3 linked regions of the Solanum lycopersicum genome follow. Each later gene encodes a partner of the first gene's protein in a complex. Links are inferred from orthologs where the notes say so. Each region holds a gene or a part of one and is shown on either strand. Other genes may lie near its edges. The genes, in order: suppressor of mec-8 and unc-52 protein homolog 2, serine/arginine-rich splicing factor SR30 and splicing factor U2af small subunit B.

Region 1 (4,174 bases):
CAGGCTTAATAAATCAATGGTTGCTGACTTTAAGCCATGTGCAGTGACTACTTAGAAGATTCATCATCAGCAATACGGTGATGAATAATTGGTGAAGATTCTCCACAAATAACATAACATTGAATCAATAAAACCACATTTACTTCATCAAAAAAAAAATCAATAGAACCACATTTGTCCAGATTCCGACAGTCCGTAGGTGGCATCGTGGTGCAGCTGCTGAAGGAAGATGGGGAAATCTAACCAAATGTGAGGTTACGGAGTGCGTGACGAACCGTCGTATTCATAACGATCCGTCCTGCTAGTTCGTCATGAAGGTCAGAGAAGTAGTCCAGTACCCAAATTCCAAGAGTTTAAGTGTTTTGGAACGGAGACCCTCGACGGACCGTTGTGCTTGTGACGATCCGTCATATCTGTCGTTGAGGATAATGAAGAGAGCAGCAGAAGAAATTGAACAAGTATGGGATGACGGAGTCCATGACGGTCCATCGTGACCACGACGATCCGTCGCGAGGTTCGTCGACCCAGCCGCGTTTTGACAGATTTCCAGCAAATAGAGTCCTTATGTAATTAGTTTTTTTTTTTATATAAATTGTTCGAAAAATCTCCTTTGTAAAGTTTAAGTGCAATGGTAATCGTAATCAAAAAGGAATTGTCACAAAAAGTTACCAGAAGACCATGCAGCCTTTCTCTTTTTCGTTTTTCCTTTTTAAGAAAAAGACAATGGATCATATACAAGAGTTTGATATATCAACAAATAAAAAAATATAAATAAGAGGACATTACTTCCTCTATTTGAGACGTATGGTGGCAAAATTGTGAAGATGTTTGACATCTTCTTCTTCTTGTTCTTTTTAAATCTTATTTTAATGTAGTAACAATTTTTTAATTTTATATTAGAAAAAGAAGAAGAATAGGAATAAATAATGTTTTAGCAAAGAAATCTTTTTTGATGTTTTAACAAAGAACCTTGTTGCAAAGAAAGTGTAAAAATAAATAAAGTGTAAAGGGTATTTTTGTAAACATACATTTTTTAAATAGAAATTATGCAAGATTTGTTTTTTCTAATACATCAAACCAAACAGTGTATAAAAAATAATAATTGCATAACTAATGCAAGCATTACTAATACACCCTATTTTGCATTATTCTTATACACTCTATCAAACGACCCCTAAGTGTATTAGATGGACATTATATATATATATATATATATATATATATATATATATATATATAACACCATTTTCTTATCGATTAAATAAAAAACGCGCTCATTAGATTGTCAAAATCAATTAGTTAAAAATTGATAGTGTATATCTTATTGATTTGATTATCTTCACAAATCGAATAATGATAAATCGAAACAAAAAGTAGGAAGTTAGGGTTATTTTAGTCTTTTGGGGATGTTTATATGAGGTTGATTGTCTTCTTCGCTCGTTTCACCCTAATCTGGAATTTTTGGGAATAAGGTCTCAATCATGTCTTCTTCAAAGCGAAATCACAAGGAAAAGATTGTTCGTCGCAACAAGTTTGTTTCTCTCTTTCATCTTCGATTATGTAAATCTCAATAGATCCTTCTTTAATTTGCTGAAAAATGGGGGATTTTTCTATTGTTTTTGTTACAGAGAAGAGAAGGTTGAAGAACCGGAGTTACCAAAGTACAGAGACAGAGCTAAAGAAAGGAGAGAAGATCAAAATCCTGATTATGAACTCACTGAATTTGGTGGTTTTCATGCTGTTGCTCCTCCCGGGAATATTGATCTCCTGTAAAAAAAAAAAAAACGAAACACCCATTTCTCTTTTTCTTCGTTTAATTTTGTTCTAACTTTCTTGTTTTGAACTTTTACAGCTCTGCTGATGCTCAGAAATTATCTATTGAGAAGAGCAAGTATCTTGGAGGTTCGTATAGTCTGTGGTTGTACAAGAATATTTTTTAGTTTCAGTTCAGCAGTTTTCTTGATATATGGCTTCAGCTAATCAATCCTTGTTTTGGCTGATTGTAAATTAGGTGATGTGGAACATACACATTTGGTTAAAGGGTTAGATTATGCTTTGCTTCACAAAGTGAGAAGTGAAATAGATAAGAAGCCAGAAACTGGAGATGAGGCGTTAGAAGGAAAAGCTAGGTAAGTACTAGGTTACTTTATTGCTTAGTTGTATGTATGACTCATTTACTTCAACCCCAGGAATAAGTAACTGACTCTCCAAGAGCCTGTTAGTAATTTTCAGCTAATAAAGTTGATCCATGTGTAGCTCCCATTGGATAAGACTGTAGCTTTAGATAGGGAGTTCTTTTGTAGATGCCCCTTTATATGTTCTTCCATAGATTACCCTGATTTAGGGACACTCTGCTAACATCTTTTTGTGTATATGCAAAGTAATGAGCATATTTAGTGAATTGTTCTTTTGAACACCATGTCTAAGAAGCAGTGCTGCTGGAAACTGTTCGATTAACTATTCTATTTATCCCTTTTGCTAATAGAGGTGTAAAGGAAGATCATCAATTGTCATTCCGTACTGCAACTGCCAAGGTGCATTAACTCTTTCAATTGATTTCGTCTCAAATATTTCTAGTTGTTGCTTGGTGTAGTTATGTTTCAATAGAGTGACTAGTAAGTTTGGGGTTTCAGTCAGTATACCAATGGATAATCAAGCCTCAGACTGTTATAAAGACCAACGAAATGTTTCTTCCTGGACGGATGGCTTTTATTTTTAATATGGTATGTTTCCCTTTTATACTTCCTCTGCTCTTATGTGTTGTGTATGCTAGGTTCTACTTGCCTGAAAAGGAATTATTTCACAGACCATTAGTTGAGTCCTCTTATAGTGCGCTTAGACTTGAGATGTAATAGTAAACAAAATTTTGTACTTGTGATAGGTAGCTGAGAAGCTTCTATTTCTATATTGGATCATACTTTTTTTTTTTGGGCAAAACTGTAGTTAACTGTTGATGTCACGCTAGAGTTTAGCTTGTATGGCGGGGGTGAATAGTCTTTTCCTTCTGAAGGCCATTCTTTTTCTTGGAGGAAGGTGGAAAGGGTGTTGTCGGAAATTAGATGCTAGAATCGTTGAAGTTGATTTATTTTACTACTAAAATGTTTGGTGATCAGATGTGTCATATGGAATATGGATAGTGAAGAAGATGTGAAGATTTTGTTCACTTGCGGTTACTGTGTGTATGTTTTCTTTCACGGTCTCTCTTTTTCTTCACTTATGGTTGATGTGTATATTGCAGGATAGTGGATACTCCAATGATATTCCTACAACTCTACACAGAAGCAAAGCTGACTGTCCAGTCCTCGAGGTATTTCCCTTTTCCATACTGCATTACTGTCAGGCAATTTCTTCCTGAATTTTCCATCTGAATGGGTTATCTCATCTATATTTTTCAGGAAATGGTTACAGTCAGTGTTGATGGTTCTGTTCTAGACCGAATAGCTAAAATCATGTCCTATCTCCGTCTTGGATCATCAGGAAAAGTTCTCAAAAAGAAGAAGAAGGAAAAAGATAGCAAAGGTGCTTAGCGTTCGTGCCTTCTAAACCTTACTGTATTTTCTGAAAGTAATTAGAGTCACAATGTGATGTAGATTCTTATATATCCAGTTTGTTTTATGGGAACCTTTTCTCTAATTTCCGACTGGTGTTGTTGCATCCTTGGTAGGCCTATTAATATTATTGCTTACGAAAGTGAGTTTGGGCCTGGTTTCCTATAAAGAAGTACAATAGAATGTTTTGTAGCCGGGATAGAATGTGGGTTATTCTTCTTTGAAACCGGGGCACAGGGTGTAATTGAGTGTGAAGGTAGTTGATAACTAGATATAGTATGATTCTGTATTTCCATGGAGACTAAAAAAGAGCATTTTGGTTCTCTGGAGTCCTTATTATGTGTTTCCAACACTAAGTATACCTTGCTTCTTTTTCCTTTTTTCTGGGCTTTTGGATCTTCTTCTGTCACCTGTACATTAATGAAGAGCTGGGGGAGGGGGTCCCTTTTGCCCTTTTCTTGTTCTTTTGTTGGTGGTGAGTTATCTCTTCTCTTCATTGATAAGGAGCTGCACTTCTATATCCTTGTTCTGTGTTCTGACACAAGTTTTCAATATTGTACAGGGAAGACAGTTATATCCAATGGTTATGACGAAGTATTGAAGTCGGATGCATCAAAGAGCCAAAT
Region 2 (4,311 bases), on another chromosome or scaffold:
ATCCAAATCAGGCTAACCGCGATAGTCAGAGCGCCTAGAAAGTCCACTGCGACTCGCACTACTGTAACTACTGTGGCGATCATATGATGATGATCCTCGCCCACCATGTGCAAGTTCAACCTACAAAGATAATTATAAACAACAATATGGTAAAACGATCCGACTTCCCACATCACCACATCACCAAGAGAGGAGGGGAGGGTGTGAGACAACTAACTCGCAAGCGATGCCCGTCAAAGTCATAGCCATCACGCCCACGAATGGCATCATCAGCATCACGAGGATCTTCAAACTGGAAAATACAAAAGGAATGACACCAATTAGATCTATCGGAAATTCTGTAGCATAAAGAAACGCATGCAGAAAATTGAGCTATCTCCCAATACAATAAGGGATTGTTTGGTTTAGAGGCCACTTACGCCAGGATTAGTAATGTAAAGATTAAGAATACAAGGATTGCATAACGCAGATTATTTCTTGTTGGTATTTAGTTTGATCAGGTTACATATTAATAGTATATGTGTATAATTTTAAAACATATGTTTGCTTTTAAAAAAAAAGAACTATTATGAATGATATTCTTGCCATTTTTAAATCCATGTATTACATTACAGATACACATATTTTTATTTCTCATTCTATCCCACATAAAATGATTCCTGCATAACTCATGCATGTATTATTATAACGAAAACAAAAGGGAACAACTAGACAGTGTATTAAGTAATTCTTGCTTTTCTGTGGAGACTAAGATCAAACTCCAATCAAATATTGTGTAAACTAAAGTTGATTTTTATGTGGGGATATATCTCCAAAACCCCTAATAGAATGATTCCCAAGGATAAAACTAACATCTTAGTGATTCAACTCTTAGAAAAGAACTCACCTCTACGAACGCATAACCAGGTGGTCTAGGTGGAACTTTCAAATCAATTTCCACAATGGGACCATACTGCAGAAAATCACCGAGAAAATTCAGAAGGTAAGTGAATACACATCAAAAAAATCCATAACTTATAATATATCTCAAGGAAACCTACCTAGGAATCAACCAAAAGCAATTACATTACTTAACATAATGACAGAAAGACTTGAGCAATAAACTTAAAACATGTCTAATTTATATTGCATTGCGAAGTTGTGTGGCTTCTCTATTAGGAAAAGAACACCAAAAGTACCAAATTAGATGGCTTTCAGGAGCTACTTCGAAAACTGAAAGGCCGAATGAGTACTGTGACAATAATGGAAGCTCACTGAATAGGTCCGAACCATTGAAGAGATTAAACTTAAATGAGGAAAAAACAAGTATTCTCACACTCTAAAAAAGCAAAAGAAGATGATTACGCTTTCATTAGAACGTGATTTGGATAAAAGGAGCAACTTATTTCCCTCTGTGTTAATCAAATTCGTTCATCCTCCGATCCATCCAAAAATACAACTTCTCATGAAACCTATTGTAGCTTTTTTAGGTGGCATGAACACAAAAGGAGCAACAAATTGAAGGTAAATGTATAGATTAGTGATAGCGAGCACATGAAATTGGATACAATGTATTTTTCCAGCAACTAGTAATTTATCTAACTAACCTTGTAAAACAAATCTTCTACTTCTCTCTCCCGAATATCACCAGGAAGATTTCCAACGTAGATAGTCCGACTTAGACGACCCATATTGCCTGAAATCATTACCCAAAAAAATAAGCAGCTTGTTCAAACATTGGAAGTGGTAATGTGGACAATTCTTTTTAATTTATCTAGTAAAGTAAGATTTAAGTGGTAATGTAGACAGTCAAGAATGCAAATAAGAGAAGTTTATTTCCTTTTTCTTTTTTGGTTTGGAGGGAGGAGAGGCTTACCAAAGTTGACTGTAACTCATCCGTGAAAGACTTAAGGAATGGCCAAACTAAGGAAGGATAAAACAAAGAAGAAAAGTAAAGTAACATCGCAACAAAATACAAGAAGATAATCTTAAAACTATAACAGTTCTTGATTTGTAAAAGAAAAGCTTCTAAATAAAGAATAATGTTACAAACACCAAAATCAAAATGAAGTTTTATAGAATATAAGAATCCAAGTAGCAAAAACCATAAATTTATCAATCTAAATCATTTTTCTACATAAAGAATAAGTTACGAACACCAAAATCAAAATAGAATCCGAGTAGCAAAAACCATAAACTTATCAATCTAAATCAATTCTTAAAGATTATGCTCGTCAGCAATAGTAGTCACATCTAACATCAGATATACAAAGAAATAACTTCCGAAGATATTTTCCAACAGGTTCCATCAAAAGGGAGAAATAACTTCCGATCATTTATGACTCAACTCTCAAGTCATTTTTCTTGCACTTACTATCAACATTTATACCTAAAAGTTTCATCAGAACAATACCAAAATTTTTAATATTATGGATAGTTAATATCTAATACTAACTTTTAGGGAAAATAGTCATCACACCAACACATACGTTAGAAAATTATTTTCCATTAAAAAAAAAACGTGCCAAACACTCAAATAACCGCCGATTAATAGTACGGGGAGACGGAAATCAAGAAATTCAACGAAATTCTTTACTGATAGGTAATCCTTTATATATTTAAACTGTTCTTATTATAAGCTCTTGATTATGATCGCATAAAAAACAATAGAAAAACCCTAAAGATTCTTCAAGAACTAGGAAATCAAAAATTATGTGTGACATAGAAAACAGAATTTTGCATAGACAAAACAGAGAAGCAATGAAAAATAATAGCATGTTATTTTGACCTAATAAATTGTATTAGGAGAAGAAAAGGAGAAGCAGCTAACCTAGAAGATATACAACGACGACAGGTTGCGTAGAAAGCAAAAAATGGAAGAAGATTAGAGTTGATAAAATAAATAGAAATAGTTTTATATATAGGAGAAAAAAAGTCGCTATCGAACGTTACGTCTAGAAACTTTCCTAAATCTAAACACGTCGATACATGACATCTGTCCTAGGACACTTTTGAATATTTTAATGATAAAGTAACTCATAAGGAATAAGATAAGTGGGAAATAAAATATACTTTTCCAATGGTGGTTATTTTTTCAAAAACAAAATCCACTGCATATGAGAAATCAAATATGCAAAATACGTGTTTTAGGATTAGATTATAATTATTCTTCTCTCACCTATCTTTCGATTTTATAATAAATATAGGAGAGTAAATTTTTTTTTTCTGAATTAATAGTGTTCAATAATTTGTCAAGAATAGCATAGTAAATTTTCTTGTTGTTTTCAACTATTTGATAATTGATCCTTCTTCATGTGTCTTATCATTGTTATCTTAAGCAAGTCCTTAGAATTAAAGGTTAATATTTAATTAATATAATAGATATCATTAATCTACAAATATAAAATTAATTATTATTTAATGCCATAAGCAAACACCAGCATAGAAATTCTTAGAACCAGAGGCATATTTAGGAGGGGTTAGTGGGTTCACGTGAATTCATGTTCTTTATTCTTAAATCAAATATAGTAGTGTTATATTAGTTAAAAAGTACTTAATTATAGATGTGTAAATCTATATTTGAAACGTCATATAGTGTCGTGTGATGATTAGATGCACGTGAATTTAGAAATTTGAACCTTTTATTTATCTTGTTTTGTTTTTCTTTTTAAAAATTAGGTAAAGTCTCTTATCTAAGTGATTTGGATAGATAAAAAATAATTTTATATTTATATTTTTAAAACTTTAATAATTTTTTAATACTTAAAACATAAATACCAAACTAATCGAACTTTTTATTTTAGATTCACATTTTCTTAATAATACATTCATAATCTAGCTTAGAATATACGCATAATGATTGGTTAAGGGAGAGGATGGTGAACTCTTATAAAAGGATAAAAATATAGCATAAGCAAGTAATGAGAGCACAATATGATCAAACAACTCAATTCAAATGGTTACAAATAGTTTGAATAAAAACTAATAAATCTGACCATACAAGTCATTCATATCAATTTCTCCAATTGCCGCCCACTAATAAGAAACGGTTAGAACAAATGAACAAGAATAATAAAATTACAAGGAATACAAAATAATTTTTGCTTGGTTTAGAGACACGTTAATACGTTTCTTGAAGATAGTTAGAGTCTTTCCCATGAGCAATCGGAATAATAAATAACAACTCTATCTTTGGGATTCAACTAAGCCACAAAACAAGTAGCATTCGAAAATGTTGCTCGTCTACTCTTGAATTGGTGATTTCACCTTTTGATCAATGTCTTACCAGTATTTTCAAAGGAAAGTACTTTTGTTTGAATGCTTATTTTTTTC
Region 3 (3,258 bases), on another chromosome or scaffold:
TTCGAAGAGATGGGTGGGGATAAAGCCTTTAACATAATACACTCTTCAACTGTCTAATTTGGGAAGTTGATTAAACACCATGAAGCATACAACATTTTTTAAAGATTTGGAAAGAAATAATGGTCTTAATAAAAGGAGTGTTTATAAAGAATTTTTCATCTTCTAAATACTTCAATTTATCATCTTGTTTGTGCTACCTCTTTTTCTTTGACGCACCGATTTATAGACAGTGGCGTAGCAACGGCCATCCAGGATGGACATCCTTTGTCGAAAAATTACATTATATATATATATATGCGTGTGTGAAATTCTATATATAAAAGATACATATTTTAAAGTTCTAACACTTTTGACAAGAGCTATGATTTTGTCACAGTGGTGATGAGTGTTCATGAAGTTTAAATTGTGTAATTAACCATACCTACATATTGTTTTACCTCTTGAAATTGCAATGTGAACTTGGACTATTTTGGAAAAGCATATGCAATTCATGCTGACAGTAGGTGACTAAATTTTGATCAAATCATTTAAATAGGTTTAATAAGGCATTATTAGAGAGTTTAACACTAGATCCTATTCAAATATAAGGAAATAAGGTAACATCACAGTCAGTTAAACTCAAACTTCAACCAAATATTGTCCAAACGCCAACATACACACAGTACAGACCGTACTGTTAGTTCGAAGACCAAAAACCAAGTAAAAGATAGAAGTACCTAAATAATATCATCAAGTTTCTTTTCTAGACGACTGAGCATTTAGGACCTTAGACTGGTCTCGTATAAGTTCACCGCGATTCATAATAGCAAACAGTAGTCTGAAGGATGCAAAACTAGCAGTTCCAAGTTCCGAAGTTGCATTACCCTAACCTAAAAGTAGACTAAAGGAATAAGAACTAGAACATTTGTCGTCTCCACCTGCAGATCGGTCATTCTTCTCTCGTCCCTGCAAATGCCTGTGAAATCAAACCTGTTGGTATATATCCTCTGATTTGGCTCCACAACCTGTATACATTTCCCGGTAAGCAGTAATAAAAATGAAGAAAAAGGCCAAACAACAGTTTGAAAGCTACTAGCCTGGATGAGCTCTGGTCATAAGAAACCTGACTGCACAAACAAGCACACAATGCATTTGCAAAAGATTATACAAGTAAACATCATGCAAGTCTCTTATTACAAAGCCCTTAAAATGCAAGACCTAAACCTAGATCCCGAAAAAGGACATTTCAGCCTGGATAACCTAGAAGAACAAATGGATGACCAAGAAATGTTATGACAAGCTAAGTTTATTATCACTTTTTATAATCCAATCCTAGCTGAACAATTATGGAATAGTTAATGCAGTGGAAAACCCTGTAACAGAAACGTTACACGACAGTGCTTTTTGGGAAGGCAACACTGCATGAGATGAGTTTATTATTACTTTTTTACATGATCCAATCCTACCTGACAATTATGGAATAGTTTATATGCAGTGGGAAAACCCTGTAACAGAAACGTTACACGACAATGCTTTTTGGGAGGCAACACTGCATGAGTCACTTTAAAAGGCAAATTAATGATGAGCATTCATTTGATGATAGCACATGTAGAAGTGGTATGATATTCAGAGTTCCTTTTTCTTTTCTTTTTTCGAAACTGGTATTATTACAGTGCAGAGAATTTACCACCAATTCGACAAGTTTTTGAAACTTTGTGACAACATATTTTTCTCCCAAACAATAACACAATAGTTTGTGAAATTTGAACAATGTCACATAGGATAAATGTTGAGGAATTTCACATCAAAACGAATAAGTCAAAGAAAAATGTATACACCCTATAACACTCAACAGAAGTTCAAAATTGTAAAACAAATTGAAATGACACAAACATTTAGGGCAGGTGGTTGAAGTTGTGTTCAAATAGCTATGTTTTTGGGATAAGAAGTTTGTGACAGTTGAAAATTGTGGGTGGAACTTCAAGTCTACAAATTCAATGATAATTTATGTTCAAACCACTATTTCAACTTGAAATAATAATTCAAAGGGTAGATGCAATAACAAACAACGAATGATGCACAAAAAGAAGCATATCTAAAGCCAGAACACCAAAAAAATTAAAGGTCGAAAACTTTTCAGATAGCTTATCAAAGAATTGAAAACCTGCACCCCCTGCAAGTAGAAAATGGGCATTAAGCTCTATTACACGGCAGGTGGCCCTCTCAGAAGACAATACATTAGGACAGAACAAAAGCATCAAAAATCATAAGGGATAAGGACACAAACCAGCACGATATATTCATTCATTATCCATATGCACTTTCTTGTCATTGTTGATCATAATATTGATCTTGGTTAGGAGCAGATCCATTCTCATTGCTTTCATTTTTGTAGTTACTGTCTGCATTAGCCCTGTTATCAAGTTCTGCCTGTTCTTTTTCCCGGTTCCACTGCTCAATTCTTGCGCGCCTCTCTTCGCTGCCATCCCTAACTGGACTTCGGTCTCTCCTGCCACCGGGACTCCTACTCCTACCCCTCCTGTGGTCAGGGCTTGTACTTCTGTTCCTCCTGCTCCGACTCTCATAATAATGGTCTCTTTCATCATGCTTTCTACTATGACTCCTGTGAGAGCGGTCTTCATAGCTGCGATGCCTATAAGGGCTTCGGCTCCTGCTTCTGCTGTGCCTTGTCCTATACCTTCCAAACAACTGACGTCGCAATTCCCTAATTACTCGGTATAAAAGACAAGTCAGTTACAACTGAATTTCTAAGACTACTGTTTATAAATGAATTGTTAATATTTTGCATAGAGTGGAAATAACCTGCTGATCTTTTTGAGGTGCATAAAGTTGCAATATCCACCGCGGTTGCAGACATTTTCCTCGTACTGTCGACAGGTGGCTTCACGAAAATCAGTCACAGGAGAGAAATCAACAATGATGGGCCTTCCTGCAGAGTTTATTACCAAAGAGAGAAAATAATCACATTATGAACTATTGGTGACAAACTGAACAAGACGGGCTATATGCTCCAATCAGGGTTGGAGACTCGGAGAGCTACAGCCACCATAAATTATGTAGTATATAGGTCAAAATCTATCATTCATTGATACACACTAAACATTGAACACCCTTTACACAACTAATACTTTAGCATGGTGGTAAAGGGTGATAAAAAACAAAATTTAGATTGCTGCCTCGGAACTTGCACAACATAAAATGAGCTTTTTGAAAAAATATGTGGGATGGGGACGGAACATTTAATTTTCCCTTACAAGA

Evidence for each region.
Region 2: suppressor of mec-8 and unc-52 protein homolog 2 (region 1) and serine/arginine-rich splicing factor SR30 share a complex: the UniProt entries of both Arabidopsis thaliana proteins name them as parts of the spliceosome. The link is inferred for Solanum lycopersicum from reciprocal best matches to the Arabidopsis thaliana genes SMU2 and SR30.
Region 3: suppressor of mec-8 and unc-52 protein homolog 2 (region 1) and splicing factor U2af small subunit B share a complex: the UniProt entries of both Arabidopsis thaliana proteins name them as parts of the spliceosome. The link is inferred for Solanum lycopersicum from reciprocal best matches to the Arabidopsis thaliana genes SMU2 and ATU2AF35A.

Annotation. Positions count from the first base shown.
Region 1 is NC_090806.1:9,685,423-9,689,596, forward strand, and holds the start of suppressor of mec-8 and unc-52 protein homolog 2, read left to right. Parts: upstream 1-1,265; 5' UTR 1,266-1,481; coding exon 1,482-1,531; intron 1,532-1,628; coding exon 1,629-1,769; intron 1,770-1,852; coding exon 1,853-1,902; intron 1,903-2,011; coding exon 2,012-2,129; intron 2,130-2,485; coding exon 2,486-2,534; intron 2,535-2,633; coding exon 2,634-2,723; intron 2,724-3,238; coding exon 3,239-3,307; intron 3,308-3,395; coding exon 3,396-3,519; intron 3,520-4,110; coding exon 4,111-4,174. UniProt on the Arabidopsis thaliana protein: Auxiliary spliceosomal protein involved in splicing of specific pre-mRNAs that affect multiple aspects of development.
Region 2 is NC_090800.1:85,834,199-85,838,509, forward strand, and holds the start of serine/arginine-rich splicing factor SR30, read right to left. Parts: upstream 2,911-4,311; 5' UTR 2,810-2,910; intron 1,903-2,809; 5' UTR 1,856-1,902; intron 1,676-1,855; 5' UTR 1,671-1,675; coding exon 1,587-1,670; intron 953-1,586; coding exon 887-952; intron 293-886; coding exon 218-292; intron 121-217; coding exon 18-120; intron 1-17. UniProt on the Arabidopsis thaliana protein: Regulatory splicing factor that modulates alternative splicing and gene expression in specific cell types. Autoregulates its own expression. Probably involved in intron recognition and spliceosome assembly.
Region 3 is NC_090810.1:58,046,551-58,049,808, reverse strand, and holds the end of splicing factor U2af small subunit B, read right to left. Parts: intron 2,930-3,258; coding exon 2,803-2,929; intron 2,705-2,802; coding exon 2,308-2,704; 3' UTR 609-2,307; downstream 1-608. UniProt on the Arabidopsis thaliana protein: Necessary for the splicing of pre-mRNA. Probably active at the 3' splice sites.